Oryzias latipes: one gene and its partner. Each later gene encodes a partner of the first gene's protein in a complex. Links are inferred from orthologs where the notes say so. Each region holds a gene or a part of one and is shown on either strand. Other genes may lie near its edges.

What was found.
Region 2: the proteins of sympk (region 1) and ssu72 are in contact, whole or in part, in a crystal structure (PDB 4H3K), measured with the Homo sapiens proteins. The link is inferred for Oryzias latipes from reciprocal best matches to the Homo sapiens genes SYMPK and SSU72. Residues at the interface, in NP_004810.2 of Homo sapiens: Val123, Lys127, Leu131, Gln135, Asp175, Asn176, Asp177, Gly178, Thr181, His182, Lys185, Glu188, Pro204, Arg205, Arg206, Gln207, Ser250, Ile251, Thr254, Thr255, Asn262, Ala290, Ser292, Gln293, Ser295, Ser296, Lys299, Asn300, Leu303, His304; in NP_054907.1 of Homo sapiens: Glu113, Tyr116, Asp117, Val120, Asn124, Glu127, Gln128, Glu129, Thr130, Cys131, Gln132, Pro133, His135, Asp167, Glu169, Asn170, Asp173, Gln177, Glu180, Thr186, Phe187, Leu188, His189, Thr190, Val191, Phe193.

Annotation. Positions count from the first base shown.
Region 1 is NC_019879.2:16,692,067-16,695,985, reverse strand, and holds the start of sympk (symplekin), read left to right. Parts: upstream 1-1,771; 5' UTR 1,772-2,035; intron 2,036-2,242; 5' UTR 2,243-2,280; coding exon 2,281-2,343; intron 2,344-2,803; coding exon 2,804-2,869; intron 2,870-2,980; coding exon 2,981-3,034; intron 3,035-3,132; coding exon 3,133-3,206; intron 3,207-3,302; coding exon 3,303-3,429; intron 3,430-3,526; coding exon 3,527-3,776; intron 3,777-3,885; coding exon 3,886-3,919. Other genes in the region: slc35f5 (solute carrier family 35 member F5), read right to left, coding at 1-71, 579-720, 1,491-1,549. UniProt on the Homo sapiens protein: Scaffold protein that functions as a component of a multimolecular complex involved in histone mRNA 3'-end processing. Specific component of the tight junction (TJ) plaque, but might not be an exclusively junctional component. May have a house-keeping rule.
Region 2 is NC_019863.2:1,925,800-1,929,718, reverse strand, and holds the start of ssu72 (RNA polymerase II subunit A C-terminal domain phosphatase SSU72), read left to right. Parts: upstream 1-1,104; 5' UTR 1,105-1,303; coding exon 1,304-1,383; intron 1,384-2,018; coding exon 2,019-2,162; intron 2,163-3,400; coding exon 3,401-3,540; intron 3,541-3,622; coding exon 3,623-3,741; intron 3,742-3,824; coding exon 3,825-3,919. UniProt on the Homo sapiens protein: Protein phosphatase that catalyzes the dephosphorylation of the C-terminal domain of RNA polymerase II. Plays a role in RNA processing and termination. Plays a role in pre-mRNA polyadenylation via its interaction with SYMPK.

The DNA of each region.
Region 1 (3,919 bases):
AGCACAAACATTGATGTCTTGGTAAATGTGCTAAAAAAAGGTTTGTTGTAATCCTGACGCTTGAAAATGTACTGATGGAATAAAGAGAAGGAAAATGGGTATTAGGGTTTTCATTTCACTAAGTGGCAAACAACCACATTTGAATTGAGGTTTCTGTAGTTAACTCAATCCCCATTCAGGGCTACTGTGGATGCATCCATAATAAACCAGATTAAATGTAGAAAATAAATCCTTTTTTCAGTGCTACCTTACCCAAATTCTTCCATATATATTTTTTTTTGTCTGTTTCATCAATGTCAAATCTTTAATGTTTACTGAAGCTATGCTGTAAAAAGCCAGAAGAAATGCACATACAGATGTTTTGGAAATACATTTTTTACAAATAGAATTTGAGTCAACTCGAGGAACTGGCTTAGTCAGTTTGGATTTGCCAAACTTTGACTGATTCGAACTTAAACTACTCTAATTCCTGTAAGACTTTGTTAAGATACTGTGAGGACGTTCTTGTGTGTTTGTCTCAGTAGAGTTTTGTTACACACTAAATGACAACCCACAGACAGCTGACAGACTGTCCTTACTGAGGTTAGCTCGGAGGAAGCCACCCAGATGACATCCACCAGAAGGAGTATCACCACCCCTAAGGCCATCCTCCTCCGCTGGGCTGTAGAGCTTCCCTGAGAGCTCATCCGGTTCATGATGAAAACCCACTCCATTGAGACCCTATAACAGACACATGACATAGAGGGGAAAACGAATATGATATTTTTTCCCTCTTTTTATTCTACTGTATGCTTTGCTGGAGGGACAAGGCAACAATGCCACTGTACATTGCTCTAAAGGTACAATTTATAAGAATATACCATGACAGATTCATATAGACTTTTAAGACAAGGTAAAAATGAAAAAAAGTTCCTTAAGACTGGGAAACCAGTCAAAGGCCTTTCCTACAGGTTTTTCCAATGAAGACCGTGGTTAACTTAACTAACACGTTGCAGGAAATACGCTTGTAAAGCATCACTAACAACAATACTCATAAACGCGTGTTACAAGTGATGATGTGCGTGTTTTCTACTAGACCTCCGCCTCTTTAAACAAAAATTCTGTTGCATGTTCATGTGGCAATGAATGTAAAACATAAGTGGTCCCAATGAGAATCAAAACTATGAGCACGAAACCGTCTGCAATTTAAAGATGTAAAATTAACTGATTTATTACGATACGACGTTCTGTATATTAAAAACAAAATAAGCACAGTTTTTACTAGCTGTATCCAAAACAAGCTTCGCAGTGGTACGTTTTAGCTGCCTGTTTTCCAAGCTAACTAAGAGCTAGTAAAATGTCCTACAAACAAAGTAACAAAAGCAATAACAGCGGCGTGTTCACCCGAATGCGAGGCGTATTCATTCACTTTTCTTCATTAGTTGATGTCCGATTGATCTTTTACATTACTGTTTCTAAAAAACAACACGTTTTAAACGAGAATATTTTACCACTCCAGCGGTTGTAAACATAAGCACTTCCTTGTCTTGTTATTAGCATCAGGTGACATCACTTATCCCGCTAAGCCTCATGGGACTTGTAGTTAAATGGTGATCGATTAAAAACATTTGAAATGTGTCTATGGCACATATTTTGTTTCCCATGTGATGTAAACAATACTAGTGTTCTTATTAATAGTTAAAAAATAAATAAACAAAAATAGCTTAGAGGCACACAAATCCAGCAGGAGGCGCTGCTTTTATTTGAGTATCCGAAAACAGCCGAAGAAGAACCGTACCATAGCTTCTTCGATGAAATATGGCGGTAGCTTTGTTTGCTTGCTAGCAAAGTTAATTCATATATTTAATAAGTACTAAAACAAGGCAAATCTTGTTGTCTAATAGATCATATTTGTAATTACCCGTTTAATACAAGAGTTAGTGTATCTATAACGCAGTTGGCTTAGTAAAGTAGATTATTATTTTATCGTTTTGGCTAACCTAATGTTACGAGCTAACTAACTGGATTCATTCTCATCATTCTGGTAATCGTGTAGGTAAGTTAGAAAAAAATACTGACTTGCGTATTGAAATTTGTTTATTTAAGTATTATCAATTGAATATGTGTTTCTGTAATACATACGAATGTTTGTAGTCTGACTTAAAACGTTCAGTAATTTGAATTAAAATATAGATGTTATGCGTAATTCTCGTATTGTTATGTATGCTCTAAATTATTATTATTATTTCTGTTTTCCTTTCAGGATCATGCAAGATTATTACTGACTGGAACATCAGCAACATGGACATTTCTTCTAAGGCGGAGGACACTCCGAAAGGGGTCGATATGACCACCAGTGAAAAGGTCTGTACAATTAGCACAAGATGAAAGATTTGTTTACAATCTCAGGGACAACAACACAATCTGGAGGTAGCAGACTTTAAAACAGAAATATTTTAATCTGAAATTGTTCATATAAAGCATTTTAAGTCTTAAAATATACATCTAGAAACACAACAAATCATTAAATGCTTTTTGTGTGATGCAAGTTAAATCTTGATCTTGCTATCTAAACATTCTTTATTTTTTAATCTGCCATCGATTTTGTTCTGATAAATTGCAATATATAAGAAATATTTACAATTGCTGCAGTTTAATCTAAATGGGGCTGTAGTCTACATTTGCAGTTGTCTGGGGTTAATAGCTAAGAACACCTCATTTGGCTCAAACATGCTATATAGTAGAAATTATGCTAATATTTTTTGGCTGGTTAGCCTCTTATTGTAGCGTTGTAGAGACTTACTCTGGTTCTTTCTTTTCTCAGGTGGTGGAGCTTCTGAATCAAGCTTCTCTCATACCCACTGATGAAAAGCTGACTGCTCTCAAACAGGTTGGTAGTGTAAATCTGTGCAGTTTAGATGACTGCTACACAGCAGCACCGACTGAGGTGCTGATGAGGTGGTTGTAAGAATTTGAAGTCACGCGTTTGAATTTCCTTTAGGTTCAAGAGCTCATCATCAACAAGGATCCGTCCCTTCTTGACAACTTTTTGGATGTAAGTAAGCACCTGCCTTTCATGGCAAAGGAATGGTAAGCGTGTAAGTTAAAATCGGCCCAGTCATGTTCTTGTATCTTGCCAATTCTATTTTACAGGAAATAATAGCGTTTCAGACCGACAAATCAATAGAAGTGAAAAAGTTTGTCATTGGATTTATAGAGGAAGCATGGTTAGTTGTTTGTGTCAACATTTTACATCTTATACACTTTTAAATGTATGTATATTTATTGAAACTCTTTTTTTTTTATATCTATTTCCCAACTAGTAAAAGGGACAATGAGCTCCTTGTTAGACTTATCGCCAATCTAAACATGCTGCTGAAGGATGAAAGTGTAAATGTGGTGAAGAAAGCCATTCTGACACTCACTCAGCTCTATAAAGTAACATTACAGGTATGCACCTTAAAGTCACTCGCATAATTTCCTGCTAAAATAATAGGAATACGGTGTTTTTATGTTCCCACATCTTCTGTTGTTTCTTTTCTGCCAGTGGTTGGTCAGCTCAAAAACACTGTCAGAAATGCAGGAGGCATGCTGGGACTTGATCACTCAAATGAAAGGGGAAGTGTTGGCCTTGCTGGACTCCGACAATGATGGTGTTCGCACACACAGCATCAAATTCACAGAATCTTTAATCATCACTCTCTCGCCGCGGACACCTGACTCTGATGTACCCAAACGCCAGGATGCTGACATTAGCCTTGACAAAGTTCCCAAAGACCATTCGTACATTCACTACGGTAAAGATTTTAGAACTCTCTTTTTTTTTTCTTTTTTTTTTTTTTAAACAGGCATGTTAAAATCTTTCTTACTGCAGGATAGATTTATTACATTCTGTTGAATCAACAGGTACTTTGTGTGAAGAAGGAAAGAGTGCACTGGA
Region 2 (3,919 bases), on another chromosome or scaffold:
GGTTTAAAAATTCCTCTTAGGTCCATTTTTTCACCATTTCAAACCCAGATATGTCGTTCGAAAACATTTTCTTCATGTTTATTACTAATTTCTTGGCCAATATGGAAAATAGTAAATTTTGCTTCATTAACTCCGTTGACGGCCAATGATTTTATCTAGAATTGGCCTGAACTTGTGTTTAGCTTAAAATTGTTTTTATTCACGAAATGTTCAGGTGGGACCTGATCCACACATGCACAGGGAGAAGATGCAAACGGGAAGGATTTGAACCAGGGCCTTCTCGCTGTGAGTGAGAGCGCTAACCACTGCCCCACCGTACCTGTTCATTGATTTAAAAAAAAAAAAGATTATTTCATACCTAATTCATTCCAAAACCATTTGATTTAAATTGTTGGGAACCAAAATTTAGATTGAAGTAGGCTTTTTACCTAACCCATTTATATGTTGTTCATTTCAAGACTTTTTCTGGATTACTTGGATGACTGCACTGTTTCATGTCTTGCATGAGACTTTTGAATCCAAAAATGATCAGTGTTTGGATCTGCACAGAAGGCAAAAGTGTAATTTTCCATAAGAATTTAATCAAAAAGGGATTTGGCTTTTAAAACAGATTAAAAGTCAACCATCCATAGTTGACATCTAGGGGAAAAACAGAGATTTGATAAAAATCTTCAAGGTTTTCTGAAAGTCGTGGTTGTTCATGAACTAAAACGATTATCAGTTGTACTTTTTACCCTTTCAATGCATGATAATTACTGACAGGAGACTAGTATATATTCACCAAATCTCATAAAATTGAAAAAAAGAACGCTTTTATCATGGAGAATAACAAAAAATAAAACCAATAAAAGCTATTTTAAGAACTTATTGACCAATAAAAATACAAATAATTAACTCCCCTGTAGAGATCTTTTCTCTCTTATTCTTATGTTTTAGTGGAAGTTCAGTCATAATAATCCACCGTAATATTTTAAGTCAAGAATAAAAACGTTAAAGGTGCGGTTTACAAAAAAACATTTTGAATGTTTGTCACGTGATCACAACTGAACTCAGTAGGAGACCCCGCCCCCAATGACATCACAGATAAAGCCCCAGTCAATTTGCGGAGTTCCGCCATTTTAACTTCCTGCTTCCACGGGAGACGCCGCCGTGGCGTAGCTCTGCTTGTCAAACCGCCAGCTAGTTTACCTGATCAGAAAGAGCTTAATTTGTTTGGTTTTTGTGTTTTTTTACAGGAGTCTGAGTAACTGCTTCGTCTTAGCTCCAGACACTTGTGTCGTTCAGTTTCAGTTGAAGAGTCGCAATGCCGAGCCACCCGCTCCGTGTGGCGGTTGTGTGCTCGAGCAACCAGAACCGCAGTATGGAAGCGCACAGTATCCTCAGGTAACGGATGGCCGCCGGGAGGAGGACGACACGAAGCCTGACACGAAGTGACTGACGAGAGTAGCGCAGTACCGAGCGGTTAGCTTCCGCCTGTTGGGATGCGCGTCGACGGCGGCGGCGCAGCCCGTCGGGCCTCACCGCAGTTTAACAATGGACGCGCTTTTCAGGGTTTAGAGACGCCGCTGCGCACTTCCGGCTGGATTCAAGGAGTTTTATTTACCGCCCAAATTACAGCAATAACTTGTATAGGGGAAAAAACTTGAGTGTTTTTTTTTTTTTTTTAGTTTTTCTTAAAGCCCCATGAGGAGCTTCCTTCATTCCCCGACCCATTTGTTGACAGCAGCGCCCTCTGTCGGTCATTGTCCGTAAACACAAGGCGGGGATTTTGTAACGCAAAATCACTGCTCTGAAGGAGCTACAGATCCAAGTTTACCTGTTAATCAACCAATGCCACTAGTTATCATTTGAAAGAAAATGTTATTTCTTAAAAAATCTTTTTTACTTTTGATCATTCCCAGAGACTAAAAAAAAATGTAGTTGGAGCAAACTTTTAGGGTTACTAACTAGTGACAAAATTAATGTTGTTCTGTGGTTGCCTGCTGCCTTCTAACCAATCTGTTTCTTTTTCTTTGCAGTAAGCGTGGATTTGAAGTGCGATCGTTTGGGACGGGGTCTCATGTAAAGCTGCCTGGTCCGGCTCCGGATAAGCCCAATGTGTACGACTTCAAAACCACTTATGAACAGATGTACAACGACTTGGTCCGCAAGGACAAGGAACTGTATCCCCGCCTGCCCACTCACTCACCCTCCCTCCGCTGCCTCACGCGCGTGCACATGTCTATTGGAGACCCCAGTAAACGGTGCATCTGAATGTACATGTATCTGTGTGGAGTTTGTGCCTTTGGGAGAGCACAGATGACAAAAAAAACAAAAAAATTCCTAAAGTGTGACTGATAACCGCTTACACAAAGTGGGACGGAGGATCGCCATGTACTGCAGCAGCTGTAGCAGCAGTAAGTGCTCTCGGGGAGTCATGAGGCCGCGTGAAGCACACGTTTAATATTTATGCACTTGTTTTTCTCGAAGTTGCTTTGGGTCTAGGCATAAATATGCTGCTGGTTCCATTCCTTTGCTAAGTAATCTCAGAGTAAGGCGTGGAAGGAGCAAACTGTCAGGAGTGCAAAATGAATAAAAATGGAAGCAAAAAAAGTTCTGGAAGCTTCTCATCTGTGGGAAACTAAAACCAGGAGTTTTCAGCTGCCATGATGTTCATTCATGCCAGATTGGGATTCATCAGACTGCTGGTTGGAATTAGGAACTAAAAGGAAAAAAAGTATTATTTTAGTGTAAAACCTGTTCTTTCATAGTCTGAAATCTGCACTTTTAGTTATGATTTAAATCCCTAAAGGACGTAACGTGAACTTTTCTTTAAATATTTAATCAGGTGTTATTTGTTCCTGTAAAATATTTAGGTTTTCGCCAACGATTTGGAAACTGTTCAAATATAAGAAACCAGCTGTTATTGGATCTGTTGGTTAAAGCTGGTGGAAATCTTTCAGATTTGTTTTGCAGGAACAGTTTCCTTCTGGATATGTTCTAACGTGAAGAACTGGAGGTTCTGCAAGACTAAAACAGAGAATTGGGCTGAACATTTTGCCTCAAGTGGACTGAGTAGTAATGATGATGATGGCTACAGGATCATGTTTCTTAAAACAATACCTGTCAGTTAAACATTGTTAGAATACATTTCTGGTGACCTTTAAATTAAATCTTTAATTTATTCTCCAAAGTTTCTATTCCTTTTTCGAAGGCAGAGTTGCGTAGTTACTTGAGTTGACCACATGGGGGCGCCAAAAGACGCTTGACCTTCAGGCGTGTCCTGCAGCTGGCGGGGTGACCCGTCAGCGGTTTAGAATGCAGACGCTTGCTGCGTGAGAGGCTGGTTTCTGTGTGCTGTTGAGGAACCGTCTGTGTTCTTCCTCTGCTTCCATGTTTCCTTGACCTCCTCCCCCTTCAGATATACACAGAACGGCATTTTGCACATGCTGGACCGCAACAAGCGCATCAAGTCCAAGCCGGAGCGCTTCCAGCTATGCAAGGAGAAGTTTGACCTGGTCATCACTTGTGAGGAGAGGGTTTATGACCAAGTACTGGAGGGTGAGGATTCTCTGATCCAGGGAGAAGATGGGAGTCTCTCCTTTTGAAGGCCTTTTCCAAATGATCTTGTCTTTTCTCTCAGATCTGAACTCGAGAGAGCAGGAAACCATGCAGCCTGTGCACGTGATCAACGTAGACATTCAGGACAACCACGAGGAAGCCACTCTGGGTGCCTTTCTCATCTGTGAGCTGTGTCAGTGTGTGAGTGGCCCTTCTCCGGTTTGTTTCTCCCACTTTCCGACCGCCACCGCCGTGGTTCTGTCTCATCCTGGGTCTCTCTGCAGATCCAGCACACCGACGACATGGAGAACGAAATCGATGAGCTCCTGCAAGAGTTCGAGGACAAGAGTAACAGGCCGTTCCTTCACACCGTCTGCTT